Linked DNA regions of Notamacropus eugenii. The protein of the gene in region 1 purifies or fractionates together with the protein of each later gene. This does not show direct contact. Links are inferred from orthologs where the notes say so. Each region holds a gene or a part of one and is shown on either strand. Other genes may lie near its edges.

Region 1 (7,118 bases):
CTGCCCGTGCTCGAGCTGCCGTCTCCCACGTCCCGGGCCCCGCACGGGGGCAGCCCCAGCTCCGGCCCCGGGCCGCCCGGCCCGTCGGGGCCGGGGCCTCCTGCGCCTCCCGCGGGCTCGGCCCCGGCCTCAGCTGCTGCTGCTGCTCCCGCTGCTGCCGCGGCCGCTGCGGCAGAGGCGGCCCCGGGCCCGGGCCCAGCGCCCGGCCGCGGGCCCCACTCCTCCTCGAGCGCCAGGCAGAGCTCCTTGAGCGCCAGGTTCTCGCGCAGCAGCTCGTCCTGGCGGCCCTCGAGCTGCGCCAGCTTCTGCCAGCAGCCGGCCAGCTCGTCGCGCACGGCCCGGGACGCGTGCGCCCCGAAAAGCTGCCACTCGCGGGCCACGCGGCGGCCCTTCTGGCGCTCGTGGTCTAGGAAGCAGCAGAGGTCGCGCAGCTCGCGGTTCTCGTCCTGCAGCCGCCGGTTGACCTGCTTGAGCTCGCGGATCTCGCCCAGGTGGCCCTGCAGCTGCCGGTTGACCTCCTGCATGAGGCGGCCGCGCTGCACCAGCGCCGCCAGCTTCTCCGCCTCCTCCTGCCGCAGCCGCCGCACCAGCTCCTCCTTGGGCAGCGCCGCCAGCTCCGCGTCGCTCAGCGGCCGCCCCGGGCCGCCCGCCGCCTCGCCGCCCTCCATGGCCCCCGGCCGGGCGCCCGCTGGCGCATCCCCCCCGGCCCGCTGCCCCCCGGGCCGGCCGAGCGGGGCAGGGGCGCGGAGGCGGCCCGGGCCCAGGCCGAGGCAGAAGCGGCCCCGAGGCCGAGGGAGCGGCGGCGGCGGCGGCAGCAGCGGCGAGAATGGGGGCCCGGGGGCGAGCGGGCGGCCCGGGGCGGGGCCCCCCGACGTCACGGGGACGCGGCCAATGGGGCCGGACCGCGGTGCAGCCCGGGGAGGGGGGCCCCGCCCAGGGATGCTCAGGCCTGGCGCCGGCCCCGGAGGGGAAGGGAGGGGGACCCCGGCTGGGAGAAGGGTCCTTTCTGCTCCGCTTCACAACCTTGGACCCGGACGACTGACTTCCCAGTCCTCACAGGGTCCCCACCTGAGTTTCTACAGAACCGTGGCATTCCCATGGCTGCGGCGGTAGGGAAGGAACTCTCCTCCCATCTCTGATAGAATCCGGGACTCAGGTGTCCCAGCTCCCGGTCCTCCAAGGACTCCCATCTCCTCTTCCCCAGAACCCAGGGGTCCTGGTGTTAGCCTTGGGGGGCTAGCCTCCTATCTCGGCCTGAATCCTGGACCCAGAGGTCTGAACTCCCGTCCTCAAGTCCTCAAAGGGCTCCCATCTGATCTTCCCCTGAACCCAGGCGTCCCGGTGCCTGCCCTGAGGGACAAGCCTTCTATCTCTGTCTGAATCTGGGATCAAGTAGTTTCAAGGTCTTATCCTCAAAGGACTCCCGTCCGAGCTTCCCCAGAACCCTGGCGTCCCAGTGCCTGGGGGGATGGGGAGAGGATCATCTTCCCATCTCTGACAGAATCCAGAACTCAGGTGTCCTGGCTCCCTGTCCTCAAAAGGACTCTCAGAGCCTGCCCTAGAGTACTGTCCTAACCTCCACCTGAACCCTGGACTTGGAAGCCTGAGCTCGTGTCATCAAAGGGCTCCCATCTGATCTTCTCCAGAACCCAAGAGTCCTGGTACCTGCCCTGGGGGGCTAACTTCATCTCCTCCTGAACCCTGAACCCAGAGGTCTGAACTCCTGTCCTGAAAGGGCTCCCATCTGATCTTCCCCTGAACCCAGGCGTCCCGGTGCCTGCCCTGAGGGGCTAGCCTCTTATCTCTGCCTGAACCTGGGATCAAGTAGTCTCAGGGTCTTATCCTCAAAGGACTCCTGTCTGAGCTTCCCCAGAACCCTGGCTGTCCCGTGTGCCTGCGGGGATGAGGAGAGGATTATCTTCTCTTCTCTGACAGAATCCAGGACTTAGGTGTCCCAGCTCACTGCCCTCAAAGGACTCCCAGAGGCTGCCCCAGGTTACTGTCTTAACCTTTACCTGAACCCTGGACCCAGAAGTCTGAGCTCGTGTCCTCAAAGGGCTCCCATCTTCTCTTCCCTAGAACCCAGACGTCCCAGTACCTATCCCTGGGCATTGTTATCCCACCTCTGCCTGAGCCAATTCTCCTGGGGCTTCTAATCTAGCTTTCTTTCTCTAGAGTTCTGAGCACTCGGAGCCTGCCCTCCAGGTCCTCAGTGGTCTGCCTTGGCATCCAGGTGTTCCTGTGCTCTCAAAGCCTGGGGTGCTGTCCTCATCTCCCCTGACCTTGGACCTTCTCTAAAACACAGTCCTATATCTTCCTGACCTCTAGACCTAGGAGTCCCTGGGCCTTCCCCCAAGCGCTGTCCTTACAGGGTCTGCCTGCCCCATGGCTTGTCTGAACCCTGAACCCACCTGTTTAGAGTCCCACCCTATCATCACTTTCACCCTGCGGGGACCCTCCAGTAGAACACAAGCATCCCAGGCCCCTACATCTCCCTTTCTTCTTCAGGTCTCACTTTTCCTCTCTTAGTGGCTGGTCCTTTCGCTCTAGCCACTGGCCCTGAATGGGCAACCTAGTCCCGAAGCTCCAAGCTAGGAACTGTTAAGCCTGGAGTGGACTGGAGAGACTGAGGTGCCCAGGATTGCTGTAAGATTCCTCACCAGACTGGAGCAGAGAGAGGAAGGAGGATTGAGAAGTGGGGAGAGTGATGAGGCCAACTGGAGGGAGGGGGAAAGGAGGGATGAAGATGGGCAGAGGGACAGATGGAAGACGGTAGGGCTTAGGGATAAATGCTATGGCCAGGGGAGAGGGGACCCCAATGGAGGATAGTGAGAAGAAAAGGGATGAAGAAGAGATTAGGGTGGGGGGCTGAAGACTGATGAAGAGGAGGTAGAGAGAGGAAAGAAAGGTGGGGAGAGAAGAGGAGGATGGGGGAGGTGGAGCTGGGAGAGGAGTGAGGAGAAACTGTGCCTTTCCAGAGGCCCTGAGTCTGGAATGCCCTTCCTCCTCACCTCCATCCCTTTCAATCGCCACAGGCCCATCACCTCTCACCTAGGCTCTTCTCCCTGGCTGGTCCTCCTTCCTTCCCCCATTCTCTAGCAATAACAAGGGCTAGATTGTTATCTACTTTTCCCAGGAAAAGAAACTCTCCTAGGGTAAGAGCTGTTTCCACTGTTTGTCTTTGTATCTGAAATGCCCGACGGGCAGTAGGTGCTTGATGCATTTTTCTTAATAAATTTTTTTTAATTGACTTACTGATTTAATAAAGGTGATGTTGTGGGAAGGCGAAGGGATGGGGAGATAGGGAAAGGGGCGGGATGGGGGAGACTGATAAAGGGGAAGGAATATGGAATGAGAACTGGCGGTGGGGGATGGGGAAGGAGGATGAGCTTTGGAAAGGGGGAGGAGGGATTGGTAAAGGGAGAAGGATATGGCATGAGGAGCTGGAGGATGGGGGATGAGAAAGTCGTGGAAGAGGAAAGGGGAGATTGACAAAGGGGATGGAGAAATGGAAGGAAGAGCTATGGGATGTAGGGATGAGGAGCTGTGGAAGGAGGAAGGGGAGATTGGTAAAGAGAAGAGGTATACAGAATAGGGGATCTGTGGGATGGCAGGTGGGAAAGGAGAAGGAGCTAGAGGAGGGGAAGTTGGGAAAGAGCATGGAGACAAGGAATGGGGAGCTGTGAGATGGGAGATCGGAAAGCTGTGAAGGGAAAAAGGGAGAGGGGGATGGAATTAGGAGCTGTGGATGGGGGGGACAGGAAAGGAGGAGGAGGTGGGGGAGCTGAGGGAGGGGAAATTAGTAAAGGGGAGGAGGAGAGGAGTATGAAATATGGAGCTGTGGGTCGGAGGTGGGGAAGGAATAGCTGCGGAGAGGGCGGGGAAGTCTCCAGCGCCGGGATTTCCCCTTGCTTCTGAGCCGCAGGGCTGCGGGTGGCTCTGAGGATTGGGCGGGGCCGAAGAGGAAATAGGGAGGGGCCACCGCCCAGCTAGGGGCGTGGCCTGGCCCCGGCCCCTCCCCAGGACCCGCAGCCACCGCCCCTCCGCACCGGAAGTGGTCCGTGGTTCGCTGCGAGTGCGGGAGCCGAGGCCTGGCTGCACCCGGAAGCGGTGGCTGCTCCGGGGTCGGGCCGGATTGAGTTCAGTGTGGTCCGGTGGGTGTCCGGGCGCCCGGCTCCGCCATGACCAACGAGCTGGACATCTTCGTGGGGAACACGACCCTCATCGACGAGGACGTGTATCGACTCTGGCTGGACGGATACTCGGGTGCGGGCGGGGGCGCGAGCGGGGACGCGAGGCTGGGCGGGGGCGGGAGTGGGGGCGGGGCGCGCCCCTCCCCCTCCCCCTGCCTGCCTCCATGGCCGCCTCTCGTCCCCAGTGAGCGATGCCGTGGGGCTGCGGGTGCGTTCGGGCATCTTGGAGCAGACGGGGGCCACGGCGGGCGTGCTACAGAGCGACACCATGGACCACTACCGCACGTTCCACATGCTCGAGCGCCTCCTGCACACGCCGCCCAAGCTGCTGCACCAGCTTGTCTTCCAGATCCCGCCGTCCAGGCAGGCCCTGCTCATCGAGAGGTGGGGGCCCCGAGGCCCCGCCCCCGGCTGCGGGGCTCCGCCCCCTGCTGCCCCTGGGTCCCGCCCTCCCCTGGCTCGAGGCCCCGCCCCCTGCTGCCCCTGGGTCCCGCCCTCCCCTGCCCCAGGCCCCTCCCCCTGCTGCCCCGCAGCAGCCAAGGCTCTGCCCCCTGCCAGACCCGGTCTCCCCATAAAGTCACGGCCTACCCCCCTACAATTAGCTTTGCCCATGGTCAGCTTCTTGGTCCTGTGGTCAGAAGCCCCTTCCTCTTCCCCTTTGGTTTCTCCCCTTCTCCATCCTGTGCCCCCCTTCCCTCCCCCAGGTACTACACCTTTGATGAGGCCTTTGTCCGGGAGGTGCTGGGAAAGAAGCTGTCCAAGGGCACCAAGAAGGACTTGGATGACATCAGTGCCAAGACAGGGGTGACCCTGAAGAGCTGCCGGAGACAGGTCAGGGCCCACCCCCTCTCAGGCCCGGTGTCTGGGTGGCCATTGGGCATGGATTTCCCTTTTCTCTCCTGTGCATCCCTCCCATCCTTGAAGACAGCCCTGTGACCCCCTCTCTCCTCAAAGCTATCCCAAAACAGTGCACTTAGGGAGTCGAGCAGATCACCAAGTTGGGTAAAGAAAAAACTAGGAAAAGACAAAGAAAATTCCCAATTAAACACCAGACTGGATGTCCTGAAAACCGAAGGAGAGATGAATAAAATTCAAAAGAAGAAAACCATTGAATTGATTTTTAAAAACCTAGTAGATGGTTTTATGAAAAAGTCAGTAAAACAGATAAACCATTGGTTAATTTGATTTAAAAAAAAAAAGACAGAAGAAAACTGACTGATCATTGTGAACTTGGCACCAGAAGATGAAACTTGAAGTGGGTTATGAAGCTGAGCTTCCAGGTTCCATGGGCTGGCCTGCCTTAGGCGCTGCTGATAATGTATTTTCTCTTGGGACAGTGACCCTAGTCCTCCTACCTCAGCCTCCCTGCCACTTTCTACCCCACAGTTTGACAACTTCAAGCGAGTGTTCAAGGTGGTGGAGGAAATGCGGGGCTCCCTGGCTGGCAACATCCAGCAGCATTTCCTCCTCTCTGACCGGCTGGCCAGGTGAGGGGTGTGGGGGATTGAGAGGGCTTGGCCCCAGGGGTCTGGAGATTGGCTAAGAGCCCGGGCTCCCTCTAGGGACTACGCTGCTGTGGTTTTCTTCGCTAACAACCGCTTTGAGACGGGCAAGAAAAAGCTTCAGTATTTGACTTTTGGGGACTTAGCCTTCTGTGCTGAACTGATGATTCAGAACTGGACACCCGGTGCTGTGGGTGAGCAGCTCCCCGCCCCCAACAATGGGTTCCTGGCTTTTAGTCCCACCTAATCTCCCAAGGCTCAAATGAGTGCTAACTTCTGTCTGGCAGATTAATGCAGAAAGTACTTACTGTAAGACTCAGAGCAGGTACAGCCAAGCATATCTATCCTTCCCTGGGGGAAAACTGAGTCACAGGATCATTGATTTAGTGCTGGGGCGGGGAGGGGGTCCCTGGGGACTTTCATATCTAACCTCTCATTTTCTGAGAGACTCAGTTAAGGGATAAATCCAAGGTCATGCTGTCAGTCATTGTCTGAGGCAGAGCCCAGGCCTTCCTGACTCCAGGTCTACTGTACTATGGTCCCCCAGCTTATAAATGACATCCTCCCTGGCAAGGGCTTCTCAGCCAGCCAGGCTGCTTTTCTCTGCTTGAGGCCCCTTCCTCTCCAGGCTCTGGCCAGATGTGGCAGTCTGTAGCCAGCGCCCAGGCCTCACTGGGGTCTCTCCCTCCTCCCTGGGGACCCCTCTGCAGACTCTCAGGTGGATGACATGGACGTAGACCTGGACAAGGAATTTCTCCAGGATCTGAAGGAGCTCAAGGTGCTGGTGGCTGACAAGGACCTTCTTGATCTCCATAAGAGGTGGCTGGGGCTGGAGACGAAAAGAGTCAGGGCCCAGGAGGAAGGACCCAGGGCCCAGGATTGACTACTTCTCTCTTCCTCACAGCTTGGTGTGCACTGCTCTCCGAGGGAAACTTAGCGTCTTTCCAGAAATGGAAGCCAGCTTCAAGGTCCGTCCCCAACCTGCAGACCGTAAGGGATCCTGAGTCCTCTGGAAGGGCCTGGCCCCCACCCTGCTGTCTCTTCAGAGGCCCAGAGAGGGGAGCAGCCTTCCTGAGTGTCAGGACCAGGGCCCAGGCTGGAGCTTTTGCCAAATCCTCCATCTGCCATCCTCAGCTCGGCCACCCGAACCCTGGTTTCTTGTAGTGACTCTGCAGCAGATGCTGCTGCTGATCCTGTCAGAGCCCAGGGTGGTGCCTGTAGAAGGGGGGTCCCCCTGCTCTGGGATTCTGGGGTCCCTGGGGTGAGAGGGACAGACTCCAGGACTCCTGGCTTCCTGGCCCCACAGAACCTGTCCCGAGGGCTGGTCAACATCGCCTCCAAGCTAACCCACACCAAGGATGTGCGGGACCTGTTTGTGGACCTCGTTGAGAAGGTGGGAATCTTTCTGCCCTAGGTCTGCCCC
Region 2 (7,170 bases), on another chromosome or scaffold:
TTTTTGTGTAATATTTAATAACACATGCTATTTCTGTCAAGTCTACATCATACCATAGTAGAGTAAAAGACATTTTAAAAAACTTTAAAAAATAAACACAAAATACAGTTTTGTTAAATAACATTTTTGTGTATGGGGTTTGTTTTGTGATTTAACGTTAAATAAGTTTAGTTAATTTTAATTAAATTGTGCTTTTAAAATATGAAATAGTTCTTGACAAAATCATGGTTTGGTATAATTTGTTGTTTTAAAATGTAATTTTAATTTCTTTTAATCAATTAACCAAGAAATATTTATTAAGCATCAGGCAAGGTGTCAGGATATACATTTAAAAGTAAAGATGAAATATATGTAAAATGTGAATGAAAAACCCCAAGAGGCAGAATTTCTGGATAATTAATAATCAATGTATTAATTAGACTAGCCAGCAATCAATAAATTGATGTTTTGTGGTTTCTCTCTGTAACCAAAGACCCAGCCACCTCCAACAATCTAGACAGGGGAATCCATCTCCATCTAGACCACTGGATCACTCTAAACCAGGGATGGGGAACCTGTGGCCTTGAGTTCACATGTGACCCTTTGACAGAATCCAAACTTCACAGGACAAATCCCCCTTAATAAAAGAATTTGTTTTGTAAAGCTTGGACCCAGTCAAAAGATTGCACCTAAGGTTTAGAAAAATGTATGTTTGATTTCCCAGTTGATAAATGGTCAAAGGATATAAACAGGTAATTTGTGGAAAAAGAAATCAAAGATATATATGGTCACATGAAAAATGCTCTAAATCATTATTGATTAGAGAACTGCAAATTAAAACAACTGGAGGTACTATCTCACACCTATCAGACTGGTTAAAATGATAGAAGGGGAAAATAACAAATGTTGGAGAGCATATGGAAAAATTGGGACACTAATACCCTGTTGGTGGAGTTGTAAACTGATCTAATTATTTTAGAGAGCAATTTAGAATTATGTACAAAGTTGTAAAATTGTGTATACCCTTTAACATAGCAACACAACTATTAGGCTTGTTTCCCAAGGTGATCAGGGAAAAAGGAAAAGAACCTATGTGTTCCAAAATATTTACAGCAGTTCTCTTTGTGGTGGCAAAGAACTGGAAAGTGAGGGGTTGACCATCAATTGGGGAATAACTGAATAAGTTATGGTATATGATTGTGATAAAATACTACTATGCTATAAAAAATGATGAGCTGGTTGGTTTTAGAAAAATATAGAAAGACTTGGATGAAATAATGCAGTTAAATGAGCAGAACTGAGAGAACACTATCAGTAACAACAATAATGTTCAAAGAGTTAATAACTAAGCTGTTTTGAATAATATAATCATTTAAATCAATGACTTAAAATGCTCCAGAGAAAGAACTAATATATGGAAATATGTACAGACATACAGTGGAGATACTGTGGGTTTGGTTTCAAGAAATACTGACCATTCCCCTGAAGGCTTGGGTTTTATATTTAATTTTTGTGTAATATTTAATAACATGCTATTTCTGTCAAGTCTATATCATATCATAGTAGAATAAAAGATATATCATAATAAAATGATTATCACAATAGTGAGTCACGAATTTTTTGTTTCCCAGTGCATGTAAAAGTTATGTTTACAGTATACTGTAGACTATTAAGTGTTCAATAATGTCTAAAAATGTACATACTTTAAAAATACTTTATTGCTAAAGAATGCTAACCATCACCTGAGCCTTAGCAAATCCCAGTCTTTTTGGTGGTGGAGGATGTGTGTCCAGATGTCTATGGCTGCTAACTGATCAAGGTGGTAATTGCTGAGGGTTGGGGTGGCTGTGGCAATTTCTTAATTTCTTAAAAGACAACAATGAAGTTTGTCTCAACTGACTCTTTTTTTTGGAAATGGTATTTCATTTTTTCCAATTCCATGTAAAGATAGTTTTCAACATTCATTTTTAAAATAAAATTCTGAGTTCCAAATTTTTTTCTCCCTCCCTTTCTTCCATCCTCCCTCTCCAAGATAACAACAATCTGATATAGGTTATACCTGTGCAATCGTAACCACATTTGTACATTTTGATTCTTCCTTTCATGAAAGATTTCTCCATAGCATACAATGCTACTTAATAGCATTTTACCCACAGAACTTTTTTCAAAATTGGAGTCAGTCCTCTCAAACCCTCTTGCTGCTTTATCAACTAAGTTTATGTAATATTCTTCAATATTGTTGTGTCTCAGGGATTAGGCTTGAGGAGAAGGAGAGATGGAGTAGTCAGAACACAACATTTATTGATTTAAGTTTTCTGTCTTGTATGGCCATGGCTTGTGGCACCCCAAAGCAGTTAAAATAGTAACATAAAAGATCACTGATCAAAGATCATAGCAGATAGAATAATAATAAAAAAATTTTAAATATTGTAGCAATCATCAAAGTGTAACAGATATGATGTCAGCACATGCTATTAGAAAAATGGTGCTGATACATTTGCTTGTGGCAGATTTGCCACAAATCTTCAATTTGGGGGAAAAAAATTGCAGTGTCTGTGAAGCACAATAAAACAAAGTATGCTTGTACTGTATGATTTCACATATATCTATATCAAATGTTGGTCTTCTCTAATGCAAATTTGAGAGGCAGACAATTTGAAACTCAAGATGTGACAAAAAAATCCACATACACACATAACTAAAAAGAAAAATATGTTTGAACATAACAAAGAGAATAGAACCAGAAAGAAGCAAAGAACAGTGGTAAGCATAGGGTGCAGAACTTGATTTCACAAATGAACCAGTTAGGTACAGTGTTAAAGTACATACCAATTTGAATTGAAGTCTGGATTAACTTAATAAAAATTATCTTAAGGAACTTTCTTCCTATATTACAATCAGTTAATGAGACTCAAGGTAATAAGCATGTATACAAATACCAGACTTTATTATGGCACTCTATTTGGGTTGACACTGTTAATCTTTTGTTTGTACAATTTGCAAATATTTTTCTATTACACCAATATTTTTGAATGTTTTATATCAATATGATTAATAATTCTAGTTCCTATTGTTTATAATTGACAAGGTGGCATTTGATGTTAACTTTGTGCCACATTCCTTGGAATGTGATAAGCTCTCTTCTCAAGGGGATAGATGATCATTGTATGTAAGGTGGATTTTTATTAATCTTTCTTAGAGTTTAGTTCCAGGATCCATGCCTAAAAACCTCTAGTTCCTAGGTGTTAGATTTTCCCCAGACTCATGACTTGTAAACATCTCCACCATGCTTCTGTAGTGAGATATGGGGATGTTATAATGTGATATTTACTATGCTTGTGCTGAATGACAATATTGCTGAAGTTAACCTGTGAGCTTAATGTTGGCAAGATGCCTTCTTTGTCTGTTGCCCTATAAATCAAGCGGGCACCAGTCAGTAAGTGTGGATTTGGGGATTTGGGTAATGGCATAGAGGAATGCATATACCTGCCTTGAATGGCCCTCAACGCTTGGGAGGAATCTGTGTTTGCCTCAACCGGCCTTCATTGAGGCTTAGGGGACCTGGAGGAGTTGTGGTTTCTACTATATTCTCACCTGCCCCTGCTAGAAGAGTTGTAGGGAAGCTGAGTTGGTGCTCCCATTATCAGCAACTCCTTTGTGAGAAGACTAAAGTAAACTTATCTACTCCTTTTCTATGACTCCACTCCTATTTTCCTGTCTGCCCAGATCAAGAGTGAACCTGTGCTACAATTGGTATAGTTGGTGTTACCTGTATGTCTACCTGTGAAACAACCATTTAAGAGATTGAACAATTCTTATGTGAAAAATCAAACAGAGGAAAACGTCCATATTATGCTGAACAGGCATTCTTACATACAATTTACCTGTAGAACTGAATATAAGGAAGAAGGCAAACTGGATTGCTTTTGGCAAAGCACCCAGAGTCTTTCATTTTTATCTCAAGCTGTCTTCCTAAAGTCCCATCTTTATATGGTTTTCCTCCAATGATTTGTTGGGAGAATTCTCTAGACATAAAAAATAAGACATCTTTGGAAAGGTGTACCTATCACGGGGATTCCAGTGATAAGCAGACTAAGGAAATTGTTGATAGCAGCAGATCTGGGAGACTTAGTTTTTTTTTTTTTTTTTTATAACTGGTTCATTTAGAGTACACAGACAATTGGCAATATTTTTCGGAAACTTAGGATAGATAAGTAATACCTTTCATAGGAGAGGAAAGTTAAGAAAGGAAGAATCATTCAAGGCAGAAAAGGGAAACTTTTACCATGTAGTTGGCAGGGTTTATTACTGGAATGAGAAGATATTCTCTGTGCAAGGGGAAAAGAAAAGACTCTTACAATTGTGAAAGATGTTCTTTTAGACAACTGCGGGGTTGGAATGACTATTTAGACAAGACTGTGGGTGTCTTTTATCCAAGGATAACAAATAGTTATTACAACAGTAGCAGAGACTATCTACATAGTTTGTTATATTTCTGGTTTACTTTCCACCTTTAGACCACTAGGTATTTGGAGGTGTTTCTACATTATTATTAGTCCATCAAGATGTGAAACAGCTGTGGTTCCACATTTCCCCCACAGAGGGAATCGCCAAATGCCACAATTTTTTGAAACCTGATAATTGCAGGTGACCAGAAGGATAATGGAGAAGGGTATGATGAGTCTAAGGTGCAGTGTTATCACCGTGGATGCCTTAGGTACAACAAAGTTTCACGAACAATATGTGATTACTGAAAGGTACGATCTAACTGGTGGAACAAGGGAAAAGGGAGGGACAGTCACAGTACTGAACAAGGACGCACAGATACATTAGATATGCTAAATTTGGTAGACCTTTGAGGGAGGAGTTATGGGAAAGCATGGAACAGAATCATCCAGATGGTGAGCTGTGGAGGGTTTGGGATCTGCATAGATGTAAGGATTGACCAACCATTGGGACCACAAATCCATTGAAATGCTTCAGGTGGCCAAGCCTGTGAATTCTACCTTCCTAACATTTCTTACCTGCGCTCCTTTCTCTCCGACACTGCCCCCACCACTCTCACCATCTCACACCTAGATTATGCAGTAGCTTGCTGGTGGATCTCCCTGCCACCGAATCCTTCCCTGCCCTACTCCTGTTCTCCACTCAGCTTACTTCTGAAGTGTAAGTCTGACTGTCCTGTCACCTCCAGGAAGAAACCTGACCCACCTCAGAGCCAAAGGCACTGGCTTGTTACCTGTCCCTCCAAGAAGACATCCTCTCTCCGTTTCTGGCTGGGATTGGAATCAGGAAAGCCCGAGTCCAAGTTTAACCACAGATACTTACTGTGTTACTTTGGGCAAGTCCCTTAATTGTTGTCAGCCTCAGTTTCCTTAATTGTAAAATAGGAGTTTCATAAGAATTAAAGAAGTCATTTGTAGCAGTGCTTGGCACAGCCGACAGTACAGTCTGGCTTATACTAGGATCATATATACATATATACATACATATAGAAGGGTTTTATACATATGTATGTATAGATACACGCATACACACAGCAGGGTTACCGAAGGCAGGTTCCGGCTGCGCCTTCTGCCTTCCTCCAAGTCCCCGCCAGCCTCCCCTTCCCCAAGCTTGCCCTCCGCTGCTGTGTCTCTTTACACACTATGGTTCGCAGGTCGTCCCCCCATCAGACCACTTCAGAGAACGGGCTGTTTCTGGCCTCTCCAGAGCCCGGCACACAGCAGGCGCCTACAAGCGGACGATGGCGGACGGGCGGAGACCTGGATTAACATGACTGCCACAGTAGCCAATGGGGGTTAGCGGCTTCGGGTGGCACCACAAATTGTTTACTTTGACCCAGTTCGGTCTAATCTGGAAAATGTCTTCACAAGAACTCTTCACAACTTCTCTCGGAAACAGTGACGAGGTGTGCAGCCTTTCGGCCGCTCCTCCACCCGCAGCTCGATGATTCGGCACTCGTCCGAGTCCCCTGCCAATCTACCTCTCCTAGGTCCCGCCCTTCCCTCTTCCCTGGGGTGGATTCTCTTCAAGGCTTGGGAGGATAACCGACTTATCGATCCCCTCATCTTTTAATTGCCCCACCTGGCGCGAGGCGCTGCCATTCGCCGGGGCGGGAAGGCACGAATGTAGGGACCGGGAAAGGTTCGCTTCAAGGGCTAGATTCTGGTTTCCTTTACAAACGGGTTCGATACACTGGCGGAAGAACCAGTTTGAGCCTGCCTTACGGCCCCTCCGGGAGGAGGACGAGGGAGCCGCGCCCTCCTGCCCGCCTAGGAACGGGACTTGAAAAAAGCGACCCGCATTGGCACGGAGCGAGGAGGGCGGCGGGCGGAGAACGCGCGCGCACCCTTCCTCCTCGGTCAGTTACGGGCGCGCGCACGCACGCGAGCCCCTCGTGGCTCCGCCCCCGCACGCTCCCCCGCCCGCTGGCTTGGGCTCGGCGCACAGGCGCTTGTTTGTCTCTGCGGGGTCCCTAACGGAGAGCTGCGGAGCCGGCGGCGATGCCCGGAAAGCTGAAGGTGAAGATCGTGGCCGGGCGCCATTTGCCCGTAATGGACCGAGCGAGCGATCTGACTGATGCCTTCGTTGAGGTGGGTGCCCTGTCCTGCCACCTGTGCCCCGGCTCCCACCCTCCTTCGCCCCCCTTCGGGGATGCCTGCCTGCGGCGGCCCACGCCCGTGGGATCGCCCACGGATTGCAGCGGCCCCCCGCGCGCGCCGTGTGCGTGACCCTGGCACAAGGGCACTGCACGGGTCCACCTGGCCGCTCCGCAGGCTGAGGCCGGGCTGGGCACCCGCTGGGAAGGGGCACGTCAAGGTTGTAGCCCCTCGTGGTCACTGCTGCTGTTCGCAGTGAGAAGCTGGGCTGAATCGAGAGAACCAGAAGGGTTGAAATGGATTATTTTCTTTGTGGTGACAGTTCTCCGGAATGCAGATGCATGGGCATTTCCAGCGTAGCTAATGCTTTCTGCTCTTGTTTATGACGGTAGATCTTTTGAGCAGATCTCTAGGGGGCGAATTTATTCCCTTAAGGTAGGAAACCAATTAAATGCTACCATCCATTTAAAATTGCACAATTTCCCCCCCAAACTACTAATTACTGTAAAAGTTACGCAAATTAATGTAGGCCTAGGGTCCTGAAGGAATTAATTCTGAGTGTGATAAAAACCAAGTAAAAATGGAAAAT

The links. The genes of interacting proteins can lie anywhere in the genome.
Region 2: the proteins of FIBP (region 1) and C2CD5 purify together in Homo sapiens (affinity purification with mass spectrometry; 3 studies listed by BioGRID and IntAct, counting the BioPlex papers as one, with this or other methods). This does not show direct contact. The link is inferred for Notamacropus eugenii from reciprocal best matches to the Homo sapiens genes FIBP and C2CD5.

The regions. Positions count from the first base shown.
Region 1 is NC_092873.1:18,603,714-18,610,831, reverse strand, and holds the start of FIBP (acidic fibroblast growth factor intracellular-binding protein), read left to right. Parts: upstream 1-4,017; 5' UTR 4,018-4,181; coding exon 4,182-4,266; intron 4,267-4,378; coding exon 4,379-4,577; intron 4,578-4,897; coding exon 4,898-5,024; intron 5,025-5,579; coding exon 5,580-5,680; intron 5,681-5,755; coding exon 5,756-5,889; intron 5,890-6,405; coding exon 6,406-6,514; intron 6,515-6,599; coding exon 6,600-6,663; intron 6,664-7,001; coding exon 7,002-7,088; intron 7,089-7,118. Other genes in the region: CCDC85B (coiled-coil domain-containing protein 85B), read right to left, coding at 1-668. UniProt on the Homo sapiens protein: May be involved in mitogenic function of FGF1. May mediate with IER2 FGF-signaling in the establishment of laterality in the embryo.
Region 2 is NC_092874.1:183,519,831-183,527,000, forward strand, and holds the start of C2CD5 (C2 domain-containing protein 5), read left to right. Parts: upstream 1-4,117; 5' UTR 4,118-6,485; coding exon 6,486-6,575; intron 6,576-7,170. UniProt on the Homo sapiens protein: Required for insulin-stimulated glucose transport and glucose transporter SLC2A4/GLUT4 translocation from intracellular glucose storage vesicle (GSV) to the plasma membrane (PM) in adipocytes.